Linked DNA regions of Styela clava. The protein of the gene in region 2 binds, or shares a complex with, the protein of the main gene of each other region. Links are inferred from orthologs where the notes say so. Each region holds a gene or a part of one and is shown on either strand. Other genes may lie near its edges.

The links.
Region 1: serine-threonine kinase receptor-associated protein-like (region 2) and gem-associated protein 2-like share a complex: the UniProt entries of both Homo sapiens proteins name them as parts of the SMN-Sm complex. The link is inferred for Styela clava from reciprocal best matches to the Homo sapiens genes STRAP and GEMIN2.
Region 3: serine-threonine kinase receptor-associated protein-like (region 2) and gem-associated protein 5-like share a complex: the UniProt entries of both Homo sapiens proteins name them as parts of the SMN-Sm complex. The link is inferred for Styela clava from reciprocal best matches to the Homo sapiens genes STRAP and GEMIN5.

What each region holds. Positions count from the first base shown.
Region 1 is NC_135258.1:19,320,332-19,327,732, forward strand, and holds the start of gem-associated protein 2-like, read left to right. Parts: upstream 1-4,375; 5' UTR 4,376-4,845; coding exon 4,846-5,018; intron 5,019-5,182; coding exon 5,183-5,276; intron 5,277-5,684; coding exon 5,685-5,858; intron 5,859-6,612; coding exon 6,613-6,721; intron 6,722-7,201; coding exon 7,202-7,338; intron 7,339-7,401. Other genes in the region: uncharacterized protein LOC120339927, read right to left, coding at 1,948-2,051, 2,339-2,472, 2,941-3,124, 3,598-3,634. UniProt on the Homo sapiens protein: The SMN complex catalyzes the assembly of small nuclear ribonucleoproteins (snRNPs), the building blocks of the spliceosome, and thereby plays an important role in the splicing of cellular pre-mRNAs.
Region 2 is NC_135251.1:26,654,963-26,662,919, reverse strand, and holds the start of serine-threonine kinase receptor-associated protein-like, read right to left. Parts: upstream 3,088-7,957; 5' UTR 2,752-3,087; coding exon 2,643-2,751; intron 2,502-2,642; coding exon 2,366-2,501; intron 1,807-2,365; coding exon 1,652-1,806; intron 1,207-1,651; coding exon 1,110-1,206; intron 731-1,109; coding exon 593-730; intron 1-592. UniProt on the Homo sapiens protein: The SMN complex catalyzes the assembly of small nuclear ribonucleoproteins (snRNPs), the building blocks of the spliceosome, and thereby plays an important role in the splicing of cellular pre-mRNAs.
Region 3 is NC_135263.1:13,920,480-13,927,848, forward strand, and holds the start of gem-associated protein 5-like, read right to left. Parts: upstream 3,005-7,369; coding exon 2,833-3,004; intron 2,429-2,832; coding exon 2,234-2,428; intron 1,974-2,233; coding exon 1,765-1,973; intron 1,702-1,764; coding exon 1,577-1,701; intron 784-1,576; coding exon 671-783; intron 68-670; coding exon 1-67. Other genes in the region: vacuolar ATPase assembly protein VMA22-like, read right to left, coding at 3,663-4,295. UniProt on the Homo sapiens protein: The SMN complex catalyzes the assembly of small nuclear ribonucleoproteins (snRNPs), the building blocks of the spliceosome, and thereby plays an important role in the splicing of cellular pre-mRNAs.

The DNA.
Region 1 (7,401 bases), on a different chromosome or scaffold from region 2:
AGACCAAATCGTAACAAATCGGTCGACAAAATCGTAACAATGAGATAATGCGAGCATAGGTATTTTAGCGTAGCGAAGTACATTGAATTGAAAATATGTTTTAACCGTACAAAACCAAAGTTTTGAAATAAAAATACGCCATCCTTCTGTAATTCTACTTTAAAACTTTTACCCTTTTCTATAACCTCTTCTTCTATTTCAATGTCTCGTCTCATTTTAGATCATATACATGTAAATGTTTTTTTTACTTATATCATTAATTTTAGCATTGTGTATAGTATTTTTCTGAATATTTTCACTTTATCAGGGTGCCAAATCTTTTAAACTTCCAGTTAGTAAGATGGGGAGATAATTTATCAATAACCCTCATGAGTTCACCCTAATTTCAGAGTTTTACCCCCATTTACTATTAAAAATATGAAAACAAAGTTAATTTTTCTCAAAATTCAAACAAGTATTTTTGTGGAAATCAAATCACTATATAATGACGTTTTCTTTAACTATGGGAATTCAAATTTTATTTAAATTTTTAATCTTATTGTGTTCAACTCGCGATTACGTCCCCCATAAAAAGAACATTACCTAATACATAATAAAGCGACACCAAAAAAATGAAAATTACCATACTCGCCTGATAAGACGACCCCTCAACATCAGGTCAAAAATTTGAGTCTAGAAAAGCGACTTATTTGCCGGGAAATACGGTAGATGTTAATTTGATTCGCTTCGAAGTTCTGAAACTTACATTCCTGCTCTTGTGTCGTTTCCCCTAGATCGGTTCTACTCAACTATTTTTACTTCAAGATACAAAACTTCAAAATTTGCGGAGTCCAGACTTTTTAGAAAATTTATTTTACAGTAAGCCTGAAAACTGCCTTTAACTTCGAGGTCAGTGAGTTAACGAAAAAGCAATTCATGTTAAATTGAGTAACCGCAAAATATATATATGAAGACATCTTTGAAAATAGTAGTTCCCCGGCTGGTGATTATTCGCTAACCTGGTCAGTTTATTATGGCATCACAGTTTTCCTCGTATATAGTTTGGTGCAAGTATGAGAAATGATGAAACTAACTCTAAAACTATAAATAAAAGGTATTTAATAAAAGAAAACTTCCGCATATCCAACTTTCATGGCGCCAATACTCCAAAAGAAAGAAGCAAGTGCGGTCCGAAACAAATATTCAAAGGATCCGGATCTGGACCGCGGTCCACCAGTTGAGTAGCCCTGCCCTAGTAGATATTAAATAGCCTATCACGACCTGGAGCATAAAATTTCTTTGAACTGAACTTTAAGTACCATACAACTCTTATCACACACACGATTTTGTTTTGAAATAATGAAACCCGACAGAGAAATTATCACCAACACGCGCTATATTTTCTGTCCGGTCGGTAAGCAAATACACAAGTTGTTAGTTCATAAATTTTCTGTTAAAGAGCCTTGCTCGAATATAAGTTCCACCTCAGAGCTTCACTCTCAATTTCAAGAAACCTCATCTTTTTTGGGAATAGAATGGCTATAATTATCTTCACCTACCGGGTTTAACTTAAGCTCTTGTGTATATAAATGTTCAACATTCTTCGAAAAATTATTTTGAAAATAAAAAACAATATTTATTTCCCGCAGCTTGAGTTTTTTTCGTGTGTGCCAAGGAACGCTGATAGTATCAGGTATATGAATAACAAACGCATAAATAGACTTTTAGCCTAATTGTTGACAATGTATAGTTCTCCGCATCTAGCAATATGCATCAGCCTTGAGGAAATGAATAATAAACTATGGCCTATCAATCGTTAAAATATATAATGTTTGTTATTGTTCTTCACACTTCCTACCAGTTGTAATTGCTTTGTTTTTGAAGGATGCTTATAGAAGTTAAATACCCATCAACGTACCAATTACTATTGATACAACAGCTCCCGCAACTCTCCGAAGCAGACTTTTGTCACCCACCGAAATGATGATTGGTCTCGGTCGGGCTGTCACTTGTTGATGTCAAAAATTCATCCCGGGTGTGAAGCGACTGCAATTCCAAGTTGTTGGCGAATTCTGGCACGAACAAAGAAATCGTCAAATTACACATAAAGAGCGTTTGATAAGTATTGCTCTCACAATTTTGAATGAGAAATGTCCGCAAATGTTGACAACAAATTTAATTCAAAAATTTTTCAGTGAGGGTATGAATGTACTTGTCCATTTCAAACATTAAATAATGACGAAAATGTGATGTAATGAATTTCGTTACAATTTTGAAACTAACTGCATTCATTGTTGGGATATGGTAATGCATCTATGAAGTCTTGCCATGTTATGTAAAAAGAGTATTTTATTCGAACCTGATATTGTTCGATTTCCTCTTCTAATTCGTTCATACCAAACTGGAACAGACAAAACACAATAAACGAAGCAAACAGATGCCAATATGAATAACATAACAGCCACAGCACTGATTGCGATAACAATATCGCTCCTGTGAAAAAAAGTATGAATATCAGTCTGAAGTAAAGTTGACTGTAATTAGTCTAAAATATATCATTATCCAAATGTACATTATATAACTCGCAAAGTTAGGTAACGAGTTAAGATTAAAAAAAATACATCAGTTTGTTTTTAAATGAATCACACCAATCAGGTATGTTCTAAATCTAAACAAATATTTTTTTAAATTATTTCAGAGTGTGTCATTAACGTTTACGTTTTCGAATATTCAGAGCCAAATGTCATCTAATATTTATTCTGGGTTTTCTTTACACGCTTGTGGTGTAAATTGCAAATTTGCTTACCAAATTCATAATTAGGTTAGATTCGATTTTGATTATGCCATTGACCATCGAATCTGATTTATGGGTTCTCTGAAACCAATCAGGAATACTTGTGAAGAATTTGATTTAGTTAAACGGCCCAATTCTTCGAAACAGTTCAGAATATTAGCACTCACGAAACCAAGTCCTTTCTTTTGCAACAATAATAGTAAGATATCGATTCTGAAGTGGACGAGGAACAACATTTCATCGTATTCTTTTCACATTTAACCTCGACCATGTAACCAAACTCGTCAACGTATGGACAGACTAAGTGATCATCATATTCAAGTATGCCATCAGTAGAATATTCGAAATAACCTAAAAGAGGACGAATTGACGCAACTCAATAAAGAAAATGCCAGCTAGCTTGCTTTGAATATCGATGACGAATTTTAATTGATTTAATAGTGGAAATTGTTTCATGCATACAATTTGAAATACTTCTACTTAATCTAAGATTAAGTGTTTCAAACGTGTCTATTACAATTGACTTTCTGAAGGCTTTTCTGCCAAAGAAATTAAAAACAAACTTTCGAAATTCAGTACTGAAAAGCAACATGTAAATATTTACACAGCAACAAACCTGGAAAATTCCACCTCAATCATCAAGAAAACTCAAAGATTTTGGTGGTTGGAGTATTGTACACGTCAGCTTTTTAATTTCTAAGTTTCAATCAATATTTGTGGACTTTTTGGTAAATCTCTTTGTTATCAGAAACTTTGCTGCGCAGAAAAATGTGTTTTTTCTAGCCTTGGTTTTCATATGCAAAATACTCTATAAAAATACTGACCGCTGCCCTCCAATATAAAGTTTTCAGTGCCCTCCATGACTGTTGCTGTTTATTCATCATCTCACAGAGTAATGGATGCAAAAGTAAGACAACTTCCATTTAAAAGCAAATTGAAATTTGATGTTAATATCAGGCTGCGGGTTTGTTATTTGTGTTCCATTTACGGTTACACGTGTTTTGGAGAGTGCCTATCTAAATTTGGCGGTATGTTTACACTAACCTCTCGTAGAACGACAACATTGGTATGATAACATGCTTTATTTGTTTTTCGTTTGTATGATTTCTACAGCAAATGTTCGTTATACACGATTAATGGGTAAAATATGAACTCGGGGCAGCATATAACAATTTTTGAATCGCACTAAGCTACATAATGTGTTCAGCTTGCAAATTGTGAGCAAATTTGCAACGTTTCAAGTGCATTATAAATAGCGTAGTCGATTCACAGCAACGACGGCATTAAATCTGCCTATTCTGTATTTATTTATTATTCAAGTATTTCATTCCTATATATATGCTTCTACATTCCTTTTTATCCATTCCGGACATTGTCGCGAAAACTTTCACCTGGTACGTGCGACAAGCAAATTAATTCAGGCAATGATATATAGGATTTACATATAGGAGGATAGGATTTACATATTTATCTCGGGGGAGAGGAAAGCCGATAAGCCGGCTTATCTATATGGCGAACCACGGCCTCTCGTCCGGTTACCATTCCAAGTCGGGTATGGGAATAGTTATATTGTTTTGTTTTCGTAAGCATGGACTTGGTGGTGGAGGAAGCCGTAACCGACCAGCGGTTACGTGAACCACCCAACGACGGCGAGGAGTCCAGCAATCCTCTCGCACATAACCATCTCTGCATGGGATTCGAACCTGCGAACCCACTCAGAGTAATTAGAGGTGCGGTGGCGAGCGTATTCCTAACGCTTAGCCCGTTGAGCCACACCGCCGCGCAAAAAAGACCAAATGTAAGAAAAAAATGGACGTCGTGATTCACTGCAAAATAAATATGATATCTTGGAGGATATTATTTGCATTGAAACTATTTATCGTGATATCTCATTTGCTGCTCCTTGACCTTCAACATCAATGCTTCATCATTCCCCCAAGTTTGTCAAACCATTGGTCAAAGTTATTGTGCGGTGTTGTCTTGCAGGCTTCGTACTGTCGTATATGCTACTCGTTCTCGAGTTTCATCTTTTTTGAAACTTTCTGCCATTATTCACGGAATATAGTTGCTCGATGGCATCTCTGATAAGCGTTACAGGCGAAAGTTTGCACGAAGAAGAAATTGATGACGCTGTCCCTGGAGCAACACCTTTCTTCAAAGTTGATTTTGATGAAATCGAAAATGGAGAAATTGTATCAATGGTCAAACTTCCTAGCAATCCCCAAGAATATTTAAGAGGGGTTATGTGAGTTTTTAGCGTTTTGTGACCATTGGGCTATTATGCAGCCATGTTCTACTTTAATGTGTATATTATTTCAATATTTTTAATATTATTACACTTTTAATATTATTTAGAAAGTAAAAATATAATTCCATTGTATGGCTTTTGCTAAATTCATTGTTTTACAGGCAACAAGCCAGGAATACACCAAATGTTGTTGTTGCAAAAATAGATCCAAGTAAAATTAAACCAAAACTGAAGCCAGCGATACCTTCAAAATATGTAAGTTCCTCAACCATGATTTATTATAATTTGTTATAATTAAACCATGTCCAGAATTTTTTTAATTCTTAATTAGTAAATTTGAAAGAATTTTTTTGCATTGGCCAAATGATATTGCAGTTGTAATTGTTAATGTTAGACTTATTGAAATGTCAGTAGGGCACACTTTACAGATCGAGCGACATTGTCTCGTTCCAGAGAATCCCATTTTGTCGATGAACATACAGCCTTCCCTTCGGGGACGTCTGGACATTGTTGTCCCTCAAAATCTGTAAAAATACATTAAAATGAAGTTGCATAATGAAATAAGAAGCGCATTCATGTGTTTATGAGATGGTTTAGGGATTTTTTCAATGTTTATCCACCTGTCTTTTTATGGTTTTTACGATTTTTTCAATTGTTACCCAGCTAAGTGAACAAGTAACTGAAGTAAGATCTGATTTGATCCCAAGTAAAGAATGGCAGGAACAACAATTAGTAGATTTCGCAACAACAAGGGAAGAATATATCAGACATCTTGCCAAATTGAAATCTATCAGTCGTCAAACAAAAAAGAGGCCAAAACTGCCAATTTATCCATTGGTGAGAAAACATTGTTTGTAAAATTTCATTATACATTTAATATACTATACTAAAGTGTCACACTTTATTAGCCAAACTTATGCCTTGTTTGATGATTTTACTTGGTATCAATTTTAAGTTTAGATTCATTTAAAGAAAATCTGACCATTTGAATAACTGTTTGATGTATAGTGGACAAAATGTCGTGACTTCGCTATCCTACTTACTGATTTTTCATATCTGGTAAAACGATGTTGGTGACTTGGGCACAGCTGCAATCAATGTTTACTCAACTCTTCAAAAAAAAAAACCATTGGTTGTTTTATTTGTCTCTCAACCACAAATTTTCACTCAGAATATTTCTCAACTGAATGGTTTTGATCTCAGTCTGGAGCGTACTTGATAATATGTCGTGCATTGTTCATCATATTATATAGATCTTGCATGGGCAAACTACGGCCCGCGGGCTAAATCTGGCTCGCTGGGTAATTCAATCTGGCTTGCCTGAAACTGAAATTTCATGATAAGTTAAAAATAGCTCAAGGAATTTGTTGAGATTGCGTTCAAATTGAGTTTTGACACAATGATTATTGTTTTCCACTTTTACTTTTGTAACACTGTAAATATTGTTCATAAAATGTAACTTTAAGTCACACTTACATGGCCCACCAGTCAAGGTGGGCACAATTTTTGGCCCCCGGTCCAAAAACCTTGCCCACTCCTGATGTAGATCATTATATATTTTATTTTCTGTATTATTATTTGATATATTCAGCCTCCTTGGGAAGATGAAGAAAGCTGGAAATTTCTGTGTTTTGGAAGAAATCTAAAACGAAAGAAACAGGAAACTGATGAAGACAATAATGAGACCACGTTATCTCAAGGTCTTTTTTTCATATAATCGGCCTATAATACAATATGATTGTTAACTCTGAGATATAAATAAGATTTCACATTTTTTCGAGAAAGAGAAAGTCAATAAGACAGACACCTTAATCTGATAGCAAATCACCATCTTTTATTTGATTTTAAGTCTGAGCCAGGTATAGGAATAGGTAACCAACTCCCAGATGCATGAATGGAACTCACCTATGTTTTGCATTACGCTACCCGCAATGAGAACAATCCTTTCATTAAGATCACCCAATAAAAGATTTGAACATGTGGAGTTTATTCAGAATGATCGTATGCAGTCCCATTATTCAAATAGTTGTCACACCTTCATTCAATTTAATTAGTCTTTCAAATGTATTTGGCACTAATTGTATATTTTTCAGTTTTTAGAATGAATCTGTTAAGGATTCTAGTAGGCCACTTATTTTCTAATTTTCCTGGTTTATATTTTGCTATTTATAAACCCACAGGTGCTCATACAAAAGAGTCAGATGAAGATGACAATCTACAGAATGCCTTAATTGCTGGAGGACGAACAACTGCTGATATACTTGCTGATCAAATTAATAGCGAAGAAGATAGGACAGTTGATTTATCCACTCTTGAGGTTGGTTTAAACATCATTCATATTGGGGATTATAGGCCACAACTGAACCCAGTGTTGGTTGAT
Region 2 (7,957 bases):
TCGGTGTAGGATAAAAAATATTCATAATACTGAGTCAAACTTGACCCAGCAATATATGGACTAAATTTACCACTATTATTTGGGACCTCCTGAAGTATTCGCACCAAGATGGCGCACAACTTGAACTCAGGTTGTGTATCAGGTTAGGGTTCAGGTTGTGCGACATCTTGGTGCGCATACTTCAGGAGTACCATTAATTGAATAGCGCCTGGGAAAGAAACTTTTGAAACTATTAATGATATTATGAAGTCAACCAACTGAACTGTGATCTTAATAATAACAACAGGACAATACAACAAACAAAACAAGACATGTTAACAATCAAATAAGGATGTAATAATACTCGATTCAATACAAAAAAATAAGAGAAATATTGCAATATTAATTAACTAATGATTAATTCAAACATGACAAGCTTTAATGACAAGTTTTGTTGTACAGAACTTTATTAAATTCCCATTATAACGTTTTAAAATTGGTTATATCTGGTACTGAAATCGTCCACACAATATTGATGCCACCAATTTGGCCAAAACATATATATAAAAATAGTATATAACAAAAGATAACAAGAGTATAGAAGGAAACAAACCTTTCGACATCGAATATAGATATGGTTTTATTATTGGTGACAAGAAGTGTTGTTTTATCTTGCGACAGTTCAATATCTGTTACTGTTGAATCTAGTTTAACTTGTTGAACTTCACTATTGGTTGATGTATCCCACTTCCTGCAAAATATTAGTTTTTTTTACTTTGTTGCAGTTATGAGAATGCCCAAAGTAAAATAAAAATTTACATAAACAAATCCAAAGTAAAGCTGATGTTCACAAACATATTTCAAGTGCCCCACTAAAATGTTGAAAAAAAAATTTGCATTAGAAGAATTTTTTATTTCGTTGCATGCATGAATTCTTTTTTTCGTGAGGCCCATCTAGATGTGTGAAGTTGGTTATATGGCCCATCGACAAAAATATTGCACACCCCTACATTGGATGATACTCCAATAGCTCAAAAGTAAAATACAAAAAAATGACCCCCTCAACAGAAACTAAATTCTACCTATATTGCATCAAATAACCCATTTAATGGTGCTAAAATACAACAAACCTTATTGTTTTATCCTCTGACGCACTTAAAACAATCTTTTCATCAATCCATAACGTTTTCTTTATACTTCCCTCATGTTTCCCTATTTCCTCTGGATCTAACAATTTAAAACAAGCATTTTCAAATGTTGAATGGGTAGTTTTTTTTTCACTTTTAAAGTTTGGATTAAATAAGACTTAAAAATTAAAATATGCTATCAATCTACATGAAATATTCCTCAGATATTTTTCATCCCTATAAGGACCTGAAAGTACAATTCTTTTTCTTGATTAATAATATTTAAGAAATCATATAAACTAGTATTTCTACAACAAAATAGTAGGCTACCACATACCTGTTTTAAATTCACTGAATAACAAATATAGAAACTACTAATTTATATTAATTTCTAGAGGTTTTGAGTATTATTTTACTTTCGAACGTAAGTAATTTCATCTGACATACTGTTGAAAACTGTCATGCTTTCGTGAGGGCATATCACTATTTATTTTAAATGAATTACTAGATATTTTAAATGAAGGTATTCAACCAATATTTACAACCTGCATCTGTTTTCTCAATATTGAAGCAACGAAGTGTTTTTTCTTGACCTCCTGTTAATAACCTTGATCCATCTGGAGAAAATGATACAGCTTTGACAATATGTTTATGTGGAAATGATGCGTCAACATCACCAGTGACAGCATTCCAGAGTTTACTGTATAAAAAAACAAATGATTAACAGATAATAGAAAACAATGTTTGTCTAATTAATCAGAAACAAACAGCCAGTCAATGAATTCAAAATTTAAATTTGAATCATTTCTGATAGATCATCAATTGCCCGAATTTAGTTCGCTACGGATTAGAATCATTGAGTTATGACCCATCAGTATAATGTGATCTTGTTGTAAAAAGTATCATTGCAGATGTTCCTACACAAAATTGATTATTGAGTTATGTTTAGCTTAAGTTCTACTTAAGTCAACTAGACCTAATTTAACTCTGCATTGCTGCATTTGCCTCATCTTAGAATAAAACTGCAAGATTGTGCTTTGAACAAACTTTGGTGGTGGATGCTTAAGTGTTCTAAAATATCACATACATATCTGAATTCATATGATGATCTTTTTCATCTACATCGTTTTATAAGACTATATTTAACACCTTTTAAAAATAAGTCTATATGGAATACATGCTTCTGTATTTTTATATGGGAGTATGTTCTTGTCAAAGATTTCAAATATATAAAAAAATATAATCCGTTAGCATCATACGCAGTGAAATCAGCTGCTCCAGTTGCTGCTTTTGTTGCATCTTTATTCAAAGTAGCAGCCCATATTGCACCATGATGTCCCTGGAATGTACCAACCCAATCTCCTGTATGTCCTTGTCGCAACATCGGCTTTCCATCTGGATAATACAGTAACAATATTACAATCTTACCAGAATATAGAATAAAAGATAAATTTTTCATTTTATTCAACCCTTGCTCAGTTAGTGCTTTAAGCATTGCAAATTAACCCAACTGCTTATTAACTAATATGAACCCACCCTTGCATGCGCTGATCAAGAAATAGCCATCTTCAGTTATATCGCTGAAAGCCAAGTCCACGACAGGGCGAGTATGGCCACTGCATGTTAGAGGTGTCTGCTTTGTCATCCTTTTTATCGCTGAACGGTGGAACAGTTAGAATATCTTGGTACCAGTACAGTTTAATTTACTGTGCACAACTAATTCAAATTAGGCTATATCAGTGTCAACAACACCAGTCAGCCAGTGAGCAATAAAAGCGACAACGTAGCCTACCCTACGGCCTACAGGTCCACCTTTTACGCCCGATCAGCGACCACACGGTTTGGTGCGCAGCACAGACTGACTGAATAATGTCGAAGGATACGGTACGGCACGTTGCAAACACTGCACCACTCACACTGTACTGAACGCTGGTGGGAAGAAGAAGACGAGAGCTGCGTCGACTCACAATACAGCAATAAGGACACAGTCAAGAATCTCAGTAAACTATGGAAGAATCGAAAAACAGCACGTTGAGTGGTACCGAGTCTGCAGCAACAAATCCGGCGATCGAATCATCGAGTTAATATCATATCGTTAGGATTTAGTTACATATTTATCTCGGTGGAGTAGAAAGCCGATAAGACAGTTTAATCATAGAGCAAATCACGGCCTTCTATCTGGTTACCAGTCCATGTCGGGTATGAGATTAGTTTGTTAGCCAGTTATTTGTTCCAGATGCATGGACTTGATGGTGAAGGAAGCTGAACCGACCAGCCATCACGTGAACCACAATACGTCAGCGAGTAGTCCAGCAATCTCCTCTCACATAATCAACCCCTACGGGATTCGAACCTGCGAACCCATGCAGAGCGATCAGAGCTGCGGTGACAAGCTTATTCCCAACGCTTGACAGGTTGGCCAATGGTGTTAATATAATTCAGTAGTAAGTTCACTAGTAAGACCACATAGATAACTGGGTTGAATATAAACTGTTCGGAAAATAACCAACAAGACAAATCAACAACACCAGAAAATAGAAAATATAAATCTTCGCTACAAAATTTATATTACATAAAGGATGTGTATTTATAAATGATAAAACTCAATTTTTGCGTTTTAAGACATTCAGGTGTTTTAAGACATTCAGATACCAAGTTTCATAATGTTCAATTATGATTTGCGAAACTAATATGTGAAGTAGTCGATTGGCCTTTTCCCTTGTTTTAACCTGATTATTTCAAGTATCAAATAATTTCAGTAATACCCCAAAAAACTAGCTGTTTTTGAAGTTAAAAAAGCATAAAACCCAATACTGATCCACCTTCCGTAACTGTTCAAGATATATCAGGTTATTTAGTTTTCGCTTTTCTTGTCGCATTCTACGTTTTTTACTTGTTTTCTAGGTACTTTCCAATGTTTTTTTTTTATCAATAGCCTACATTGATCCTACATTCCGCGTGGGCGGAATCGTCATACCTAGATAGCCTACAACAATATGGCGGAATATTCTCAAATACTATGCAGTACCAATGCCAATTTTTTGAAGTAAGATCCTATTTTTAAATTATCAATTAAAACTTAGTAGGTATGATATTCTTCTATCTATATGTGTGGTGACATTGACTCCGGCAATTTATAAACTTATTCAACAAATATCGACCAAATTGTCTTTGACTTTTAAGCTTAGCGATACCAATATAATTTTTACGGGCGCTTTGTTATTTGTCAGTTACACTAAGTGATAATCGAATGTGATTTTTTTAACAGAAAACAGAAAAAACTCATATTAAGTTCAAAATAAAATCTTTGTTTAGTAATTTTTGTAATAAACCTCACCGTCCCCATTTAGAAATCATTTGCAAATATTCTCGATCAGCCGCGATTCTTACATTGCAGTTGTCCCATTGTTCAAGAAAAAACACATATTTTAGTATGCTACATATTTTATTATGTAAATTCACGAAATTGCCATGGAATGTTCTTAGATTCGATGATTCTAATCTCATTCAGGAAAAAATTTGAATTATCAATTCAATATAGTACTGATACAGTGGGAAACTACAAGATGTCTCAAGTTCAATTTGGGATTGAAAACGAAAAGGTAAACAATCGCAACCACATTAATTTATTTGCACTCAGTCAAGATGATATTGTTGCGTATTGAAAATCAAGTTACTCCAATAGTTTTTAATTCGATTTTTTTTTTTTGAAAATAAATCAAATACTGCAAACAATTCAGTTCTCAAAAAATACGATTATCTTTATGCTAGGGAAAATTCCCAAAGAAGAATTTTTTACAAATGTACAAAAGTAAGATGTTTTCTGAATATAAAAAAACGTGAGAGATGATATTCAGGAGTATGGAGTGACACGTTTTATGGAAACGCTGATTAAGTTTAGTATTAGTATATTTCAGTATTGAATGTTAGTACTGAGAGGCTGAAAACCAAAATTTGAAACTTCTCAAAAATCAACTCTATCATCTATTTTATAATTAAATTATATATATATACTAATTATAATGGTGCGTTGCAAAATGTTTCAACTCCCAATATATTTAGGAACTTTACAAAGACCTATGGTTCTACGATAATTCAATATGCGTTGTTTCAGGTTACTTTTAACTTGGCTCTGTCTGAAATTTCTTCAACGTTTTTGAACTTATATATATATAAGCATCTATAAATTTTGTTGATGAAACTGGTTAGCTCATTCAAAAATATGGGTTTTATCTATTGAAGTAAATTGAGCAAAACCCTAAAGATAATACCCAAACGGAATCCAGAAAATCCTTTACCGACAACCAAATTTGTATATTCCATTAGTGTTGTAGGATATATTTATAAATTCCGGCTGCAAAAATGTTTTGAACTTGAACAATTTGGGCGAAAATGTTGTAGTCATAGTATGTGGATTCTGACTCATTAACTTTCAAGAGTTCGAGAGAAAATGTCGATCTTGAGCTGGGAAGTAAAATAAAGATCAAATGCATAGAAAATTTTCATCGTTAAGGTAGTTAGGTCGATTAATGGTCCAATATTATCTACTATCAGAAAATTATATTAACTGGTACGGATATTCGTCTGTTAAGCATCCGCGTGAAATAACCACATCACCCAAAAATGATATATGTTTCTCATGATTTATCACGTATATTATTTTGTTTCATATAGAGGATTTGCGATTTATAAATATAAAAATCATATTTATGACCTGAGCAATATCCACATTCAGGTATAGCATCAGCCATCAAATTTCATATCATTCTAGCTTCAATTATAGTTTACAAAAATAATTTGAGAAGTCGTCTTGCAGTCTAAGTGTTTGATTCAGTTTTCCGTAGAATGGCAAAAAAATCAATAAGATCATATATATAAAGAATGAACAGAATTTGCGTTTAGCCTATAAAAATATTTAATAAATTTACTGTTATACTATTAGACCTGAATTTCTTTATCAATATGGTATAGTATCTTAAGGAATACCAAGGAACGGGCAATTCTTCGGGAGAGCGTGGTAATTTATTCATATTCAGATAATTTTTAATAATTTGATCAGAATGATATAATTAGCCTCGCTATGGTACAGTTGTATAATGTGGTCTAATTAGGCGGGTAGGTTTTTTCCGATAAAATTTATTATATCCAAAAACTTATGTGTAAATTTTCACTAAACAACAGAAGTTCTGTATCATGACATGAATATTATCAATGTTTCAACTCACAAACCTCCAATATCTCGACAAAGCCGAACCCCATATTTTGTATCTATACCCATGTAGTTACATATGGTAATTTATAAATAATACATTTTGAACGGTATGAATAATTTCCGCAAAACTAATTGATAATATTATAACTAGTTTTAATTTGAATACACGTTTCATTGTATTGGATGAATTAGTACATTACGACAAATTATGGCAACGCGCGCCAGAATTATAAACGTTTCTCTTGTTCTAACCTAATTGATAGCAAATATCTACTCCACTAAAACTTAACATCATGCAGTTTTTAGATGTTTAAATTTTATATCATACCCCCATGTTTAAAAACAATTTTTTTTTTTTTTTTTAATTTAAAAAAGCACAAAACTAATATCTCACGCGAATTTGGTGCATTGTAATTTCGTTTCTGCTTCACTTGAGCTATATTATCTTTACCTGTTTTTTATTTTTTACTTGTTGAGGTACTTTCCAACGTTGTTATAAATACATTAATCTTACATTGTTGGAATTCCGCGTGGGCGAAATCGCCATACTCTCAACCAGCAATATGACAGAACATTCTCAAATACCATTCAGTGCTGGCGCCTGTTGTTCATTCGGGGTAAGATTACAACTTAGTATGATAGTCTCCCTTCCATCTGTATGGCAACATTTACTCCGACAGTGTGTCCGCAACACACGCGATGAAGTTGTTTACAACTACCAGGGGTACCAAGCCACAATTTTTAAACTTTAACAAAGGTAATGTATTTATTAAGTCTGTTGTTTTTCTCATTCTTCCATTATATTGTTGTGAAATTGTTGTCATTTCGTTAACAGCACTCAAAAGAAACTCATATTTAGTAATGCAGTAATCCTCGCTATTAAAATTATTCGCGACTATTCGCTAGTTTTACAATTTGATGATCGTTCAGGAAAGCAACATATTTGAAGACATTGAAATAGGTATGAAATGTTCTTCGAAGGAAAGAAACGCAGACTGAGATTAGACTGACGTAGATTGGACTGATTCAACTATCATCCAAAAAAACATATTCCATTAACACTAGCAATGTGACATACTACTATTAGATGACCGTCCATTTGCACCCACGTTCATTTGAACCCATACATTTGCATCGGTATATCTGCGGGTTCAATCTATATGCGTGTGCTAACATCCATGGGTTAGGGTTATTATGGGTTCAAATATCCGTAAAATAAATGTCCATAGGTGCAATAGTATGCAGGTGCAACTGTCGTGGGTTCAAAATACGGGTGCAAATGTACGTGGGTGCAAATGTAATGGAACCAACTATTACAACGAAAAGCTTTCCATAGATCCGAACCATTAATGTTAATATTTGTAGTTTATGGTTATGGTTATGGTTTTAATTCGAAATCGAAAACCTATAGAAGAATGATCGCAACCATTCGATGATCTTTATACGTTGGTAATATTCTTGGAATTTAGCTATGGCACTATTGAATAGGCCTAGATTTTAATTCTATTTATCTTTGAAAATGAAACAAATAATACGAACAATACAGTTTTTGAGAAGTACGATTATACGCAAGCGAAAATTCCAAGAACAGTGTGCCCTCACATAAAATGCAAATGCACAAAAGAACGATGTTTGCTGA
Region 3 (7,369 bases), on a different chromosome or scaffold from region 2:
GTCTTTGAATTTTGCGGCCAATGTATGGCAGAATATAATCGTGCAACATCCTCATTTGTTTTGCGGCCTGAAAAGTTAATTCAATTTATTATTATGGCAATATCAACAAAACTCAAACCAGTAATGATCTAGGCATTTATTTTAATTGGAAGCCTGTTTAAAAACTTAAAAAAAATAAAGTATGTTTTAAAAAATATAGTTAGGTACGCTCGCTGTTTGGGTTGTATAACTCGGAGTAAAACTATTTTACTTGGTGATATTTGTCACCTATTTATATACAATTGTTTGATCAAAGCATGGTCATGTGCACTCACTCAAAAGAGGGAGCCTATCTCGAACATGATTCATTCATAAAGTAAGTCTGGTTGGGTTAATGGGTACTACTCCCGAAGTATGTGAATCAAGATGGCGGACACCAGATCGTAGTATGTGTACCAGGTTAGGGTTAGGCCATAATTTTATTCCAATTTTCCTTATTTCAGTTCTATTACGAGTTCGGGGACTAGCCAAGTGACTCCAATAGTATTTGTACCTAAAATTATGACCTAACCCTAACCTGGTACACATACTACGTTCCGGTGTCTGCCATCTTGATTCACATACTTCGGGATTACCGGTCAATGTAACTAAGATCCATGTTTGGATAAGTGCTATCCACAACTATATTTACCCTTTTTGACTGTGTTAGGAATCTTCAATGTTCTTCTACATTTTCCTTCACCTATACTCCATAGTTTGATAGTCTTATCTTTACTACCAGTCGCAATAACACCCTCATATCCACTAAAAAATAAGATTCCATCTCAATTAAATTGAATCATATCGAATTCAACAAAATTAATAAATGGTAATAGGAAAGTTTATTCGAAGATTTGATGAAAAGGGCATTATAGTTCTACTATGTAAGTTGCACAATTCAATTCAACTGACAATTCAGTTGACGAATCCTCAAATTCATCACGATACTTACGGTAGATAGTATTTCTTACTCTTCAAAATTTTTCCGTTATCATCTTGCGTCTTGCTAATCAAAAAGTTTCATTCAGATACGAATATACATAAAGTATGACATGTCAAATTTCAACTGATTATAGAATTTTCTTTGTTTATCCTGAGAGGCGCCATCACATTGAATGAACATATGACAAATTGGTCCATTGGGTACGAAAATGGTTATCGTATATTCTCGAATACAAGACGAGTTTAAAACTCAAAAAATAGTTGCCAAAATGAAGGGTCTGCATATATGCGCACAACTCTGATCGCACTGAAAATTATGCATATGCACAAGGCACAACTCTGATCACACCCAAACGAAATGACATTAGGCTTATGTAACCTAACAGTTACAACTCTAACCATGCTAAGTTTACATGATAAGAGCGTACAATTTGTAGGGTTGGCTTTCATGCGAATTTTTTTAGGTTCACCGTTTTGAGGGGACCAGTTGAGATGGGTCCCCTGGAAGTTGAAAAGGAATCAGAGAAAGTTATGTTAACTACTTTAGGATCCGTCAAAACATATTTCAGTATGTAAGGTCAGTAGTAAAATCCATTAAATTGATAATTATGTATACCCATTTGCTGCAATCTCCTCTTCATCCTTCGGCCCTTTACTTGAGAACACTAAATTCTCATCTTGAAATGGCGACCATACAATCGAATGTACTTCATTAGTGTGACCTCTCAGTTTCTTGATAACCTGTTTGTACAGTGGAAATATAACTAAAATAAATTTTTTGGAAAACAAACATGTAATACATACAGTTCCATTTCTTCTTATGTCCATCAATGAGACTGCTCCTGATTTATAACCAATTGCAACAATGTTTTCATTGTGAGGTGAACAAGTAAGACATCCAAGATGCATCTGACTGCTTCCATCTGGATAAAACCGGTCTGTGCTGCCTTTATCCAAATTCCAACAGACAACAAATCCTTTCTCATCACCAGAAAGTATCAGGGATGGATTTACTACAAAAATGAATAAAAAATGAGAAAAATCAAGAACTAAATAAATAGGAAAATTCAAATTTTTAAAAAATTTTCGAATTTCAAAAGGATTGACGTTCATTTCTGCAGTTATTGAAAAACATGTCACTGATAAAAAGAAACTAGCGTCAAGCAGACATACACTGTGGAAGTAAAAGTAGTTAGCTATCACAAATAAAGCATTTCACAGCATTTTATGACAGGGGCAAGCTGAAAAAAATACGAAATCATCAATAGAATACCTGGAGACCAATGCACTGATATGATTTTATTGCTTCCATGAGCAGATTGTTCATGAAGCATTAATTTTTGTCGAACATCCCATACTTTAACGGAACAGTCATCAGCTCCAGATGAAATCCGAAGTAATTGGTCTTGACCAATGGTAGGACAGAAAGAACATGTTGTAACTTTATCAGTATGGCCACTCAGGATACCTAAAACAATGATATATTTGGCCATAATAACATTGTAATTAGCACATAGACAGGTTCACAATATACAACATCTGACTTATGCTCATTGCTAACCGAACCCTGGAGTAGTGATGTATAACAAACAAATAAAAAATTACTGTACAAAAATTCTATAAATCAATAACAGTATAGTTAGGTATACCAGTGAAATTCAGATCAATCTAGAATTTGAAATCTAATAATTTTTTAATAGACCGACAAAATAAAAATTTTGTTCAGATTCATTACGTTACACAAAGGGGGAAAATACTGATTCAAACCATAATTTTTCTCCACAAAATGCAAATTACGGAACTAGAAAAAACTGTAACCACATCTTAAAAATCCCATGGAAAACAAATAAAAAATCCCATGAATAATCCTACCATAAATTTCAGCTCTCTTTTGTGTCAAATCCAATAAAAATACCAAATTTCTCGATCCAAATGCAAGAATTCCATTATGTGAGGTATCTATACCTCGAGACTGATACCACACTGGTGACGATGGAAGAACAACCATATTTATACTAAATATTTTACCATAAACATCTAACATACAAAAATTCTTTGATTAGATGTTGTTACATAGTAGAAAAAATGAAAATCTTGAGTATTAAATATGATTCTTTGCAATAATGAATAGTCTTATACCAGGGGTAAATAACACAGGGCATACATGTTTAATGCGGCACACCATGAGCACGAACATGACCCGCATATGGTTTGGTAGGAGGTAATTCTTTATGGAAACAACTGCATCTCAGCTACAGACTCGATTCGCAGATAAATATTTAGATTTAGTGATGCGCATCGCTATTTCTTCTTTGAAGCCCAACATACCAAATTTTAACTTCAGAAGTTCATTCATATTACCAATACATATTCGAAAGTGGCTTGGCAGCAACAACATTATTTCAACATTACACTTTGGCACATATGCTCATTGGAAATGTGTACTCCGGGTATATACAACAACATTTTTTATATAAAAATTCAATTTGTAGTATAGATATTACCACACCAAAACAGGAAAATACCTAAAAAGAGCTTCCCATAACAAACAAATATTGCAAATGAAAATTGAAATTATTGCAAGTTTTTATCAAACAATAGAAGTGTGGTACACTAAATGAAATCTCTCAATGGGTGCTTTAAATTTGATTCACGAGACATAAGCAATGATCATTCACAATAAATATAAATATAATAATATTTCACTTGATTGAAATCTCAGAATTTAACTCTTTAATTTTTGTTTTAGCCAATTTTAATTGAGATTGCAGTGTGCTTATATCACCAATGATTATGGAGGCTTTTCGAAATTCAATTTGGCATTGCCGAAGACTTTGTGGAACAAGCACACCAAACCAATTTAATGGATCAGTTGGGGTTGCAATTTTATCTTCTTCGCTGATATCAATATCAGAAACAGCAGATGGCAATTCATTAATAGAAGACTGGACGTGATCAGTATCATCCGTTTCAATGTTTTTGTCTTCAGAACTGCTATTGCCTACATTTCTTTTCCTTAAAATTGCTTCTTTTTGATCACCACTTTTGGTTTTGTTTTGTTTTTCTGATACTTTTCTTTCATTTTTGTTATGTTGAACTTCAAATTTAGAAACCTCATCATCGTTTTGTTCAACATTAACAGTTACATTTGCACTCATTACAGAAGCATAATTCAGTTTAGATACTTGTTTCATTCCCATGACATATCGTGCCTTTGACATACAAAAAAATCCATTCTCCATACATGTTTGTAACTGCTGCTTTTTCTCGTGAATTTGTTGTATTATTCGCAAAAGATTAAGATATTGAAAATCCAAATTCTGTTTTGAAGCCATTCTTGCGTTTTATAATTTGGTAAAAAGAATGACTTTTACTGAAATAAAACGGGCACATTGTTATGAAATTCCAATATCAGAATATCTATTTTTAGCACCTTCTCTGCTGGATGTCTGCCGGACTGGATGAAAAAAATAAAACAGTCTGACAGTTTAAATAAATAGTGAACCATGGGTGCATGATTTGAGATATTTCTAATCAATCGTATACCAGTATACTGGTATCCTGTAATGTTATATATAGAATTTGGCTGCAAACCAAATTTGGGGTCTCGTGTAGTTTCGTACCTAACGTACTTCTGGTGGGCGTAGCATAACAATTTTTTGATATGTCAATCCTAGGCCCCATCTGACTACGCCATACAAAAATTACGTCACTACAGCACTATGACATCACAATCACGTCATAGAGCTTGCCAAAATACGTACAATCGCCCGAAATGGAATTGGCGCCGACGATAAAGAGCTGACTGACGTTATCGATCTCTCTCCTATTGGAATCGTTGCCACGAGAAAAATAACTGTTTGATTTTGGGTGCTCTTTTGCGTGTCTTGGATGGTAGTTCGAATAGTTTGAAGGGCTCTATTACGTCACTGTGACGTCGTGTTGATGTAATTTTTGGATGGTGTAGTCAGGTGGGGGTTAGGATTGATACGTGAAAACATTGTCATGCTACGCTCACTAGAAGTATGTTAGGTACGAAACTACATGAGAGATGAGACCCGGTCTGTGCATCTACTGCCTACTGGCTTAGAAATTTTTCTATAATTTTTTCGAGTAGACCAGAGCCTGGAAAAGCCGCCCTGGATGGCACTGAAACTATTTTTATTGAATACAGATCCTACCGGTACATAGCTGATAATGTTCCGGCACACCATACAGCATACACGATAACACGAATAAGCGGCTTGCTCCCGCACCGCGCACATGTTTGTGTTGTGCTTCATGCATCTCCCTGCACTTTAACGACATCTTGTGGTTATCAGATTTACTTTCCATTCTCGGTAGGTATTCGTGAAATCGTGAGTATAAACGATTCTATTTTTCCTATTGTTTATTGCTTTTACTGCATTTTGCAAACTCCTGTTATATGGATAATTGCTATTTTATTGCTAAGTTTTACAAATGGCCAATAAACATAAAAGAAAAAAATCATATGATCAATGTTTTTTAAGTTCAGTTTCACTGAAATCACGACAATATACAACATGATGCACAACTCCGGCATTTGTAACCGAAGATCGTATCCGATAACACGCTTCAATCAATGACATTAATGTCATTGCTGAAATAAAGGGCCAGTCGAAATGGGTTATTTGTATCAAAGGATGAAATTTAGTTTTTGGTGAGTTTAATGATTTTTGGGCAGAAGGCTATTACTTTTGTGCATTCCTAAATTTTCTATAAATTCAATGAGATTTAATATTTTATCCAAAATTTTGATATATTTTTATTTTCATTGGAACACGGCAGTTTCCGGTTTAGACAGGACAAGCAATCCGCCAAATGAAAAGGGTGGTTTTAGAGTCAAACTTCTAAGACGCTTTTTGACCAACTGAGTAATACGAATAACTTCTGATGTTGTTGTCATCATAGCGCATTGTGAGAAAAATCATCAAAAATATTACTCAGCACAATCTTCACGACAGTTATTGTATTTCATCATTTTTTAGAAATTAACAAAAACGTTCTCATCTCCCAGCCCACTGATTAACACTCTGCGTCAGAATAATCCAAGTCGAAAATTATAAATAAAACGAAATGTATATGTGGAAATCATTTTATTAATAGAAAAGTGAACAAATAATTTACAGACACGATGAATGATTAATCTAAATTGTAATAATGTGTTGATACAACCACTATATAGTATTATTTGTCGTGAAAAGTTTTGAACATAAAAAGCATTCAATATTAGAAAAATTATATCTACGGTATATGCCAATTGCCATCGACAGTTGCAAACTAATATCTTTCTATAAAAAAAAGAAATTTTAAATACTAGTTCTTGTAAAAATAATAAATGATGGATAAGAACGTATAGAGAGAGTAATGATGTATTTTTATTTATAATTCTATAAATATATATAAAATTTAATTTGCTCTTAACACGAGAGAGCCTAAATGAACCTATCATCTCACTCCATTGTTTAAATTTTGAAGTATGATATTAAAAATGATATGTAAAATGATGAACGGACTCGAAACTGTAATTTTGGGGGCCACCAAAACAAGTTCAATCGGGAGCTAGTACATTGTGTGATGTTAGCTTTCACTCGATCTAATTTTTCTTGCATTTCATCCCATTTTTTCACCGTATTGTAGATTTAAGCGTACGATTTCCTAGTTCAAATAAGCTGTGTCAGACAACCTATTTTCAATATGAGTCCCTGTCACCCCCTCGCTGTACTCAGCTTTGCTGGATCCGTTTCTTTGCGAATCACACTTGTGACGTTGATGTCACCATAGTGCTTTGTGTCGTCATCGGTCGTCGATTATCCTGCAGAAAGTGACGTTAATTGGTATTAGTAGTAAATGGTCTATTATGATATAGATTTTGTAAGAAGGATGATTATAACAACAAGAGATCGTTACTTTGATAGTATCTACAGCTGTTAATGTAGGGTACATGTAAAGATGCGTTGAATACGATAAACAACATCAATTCATTTCGAGATTTCGTAAACACACATTCAGTTACATGCAAACATATTGCTGTATTTTAAACTTTGATGTAGGTCGTTTCGATGTTGTTAGATTGTCTATAATAAGTTTAAGTACAACTCTGATTTGCTTTTGCCTTGGTTCAGAGATATATTCAAAACATTACTACACAGGCAACAAGCTTATGCAAATAGGTCAGCCTATGAATTCAGAACGCAAGCCAGGCAATTAAAATTTGAGCATGACATTCATTAAACGTATAGTAAGTAGTAACTATGGGAAAACATTGAAGTGGATTCCTGCATACATGAAACGTTGAGGATGGTAACAACAATACGGAATTCCTAACCTAAATACTTTTGTTTCTACGACATAGGTGTACAACGTAAGAATTGAGACCACAATGGCG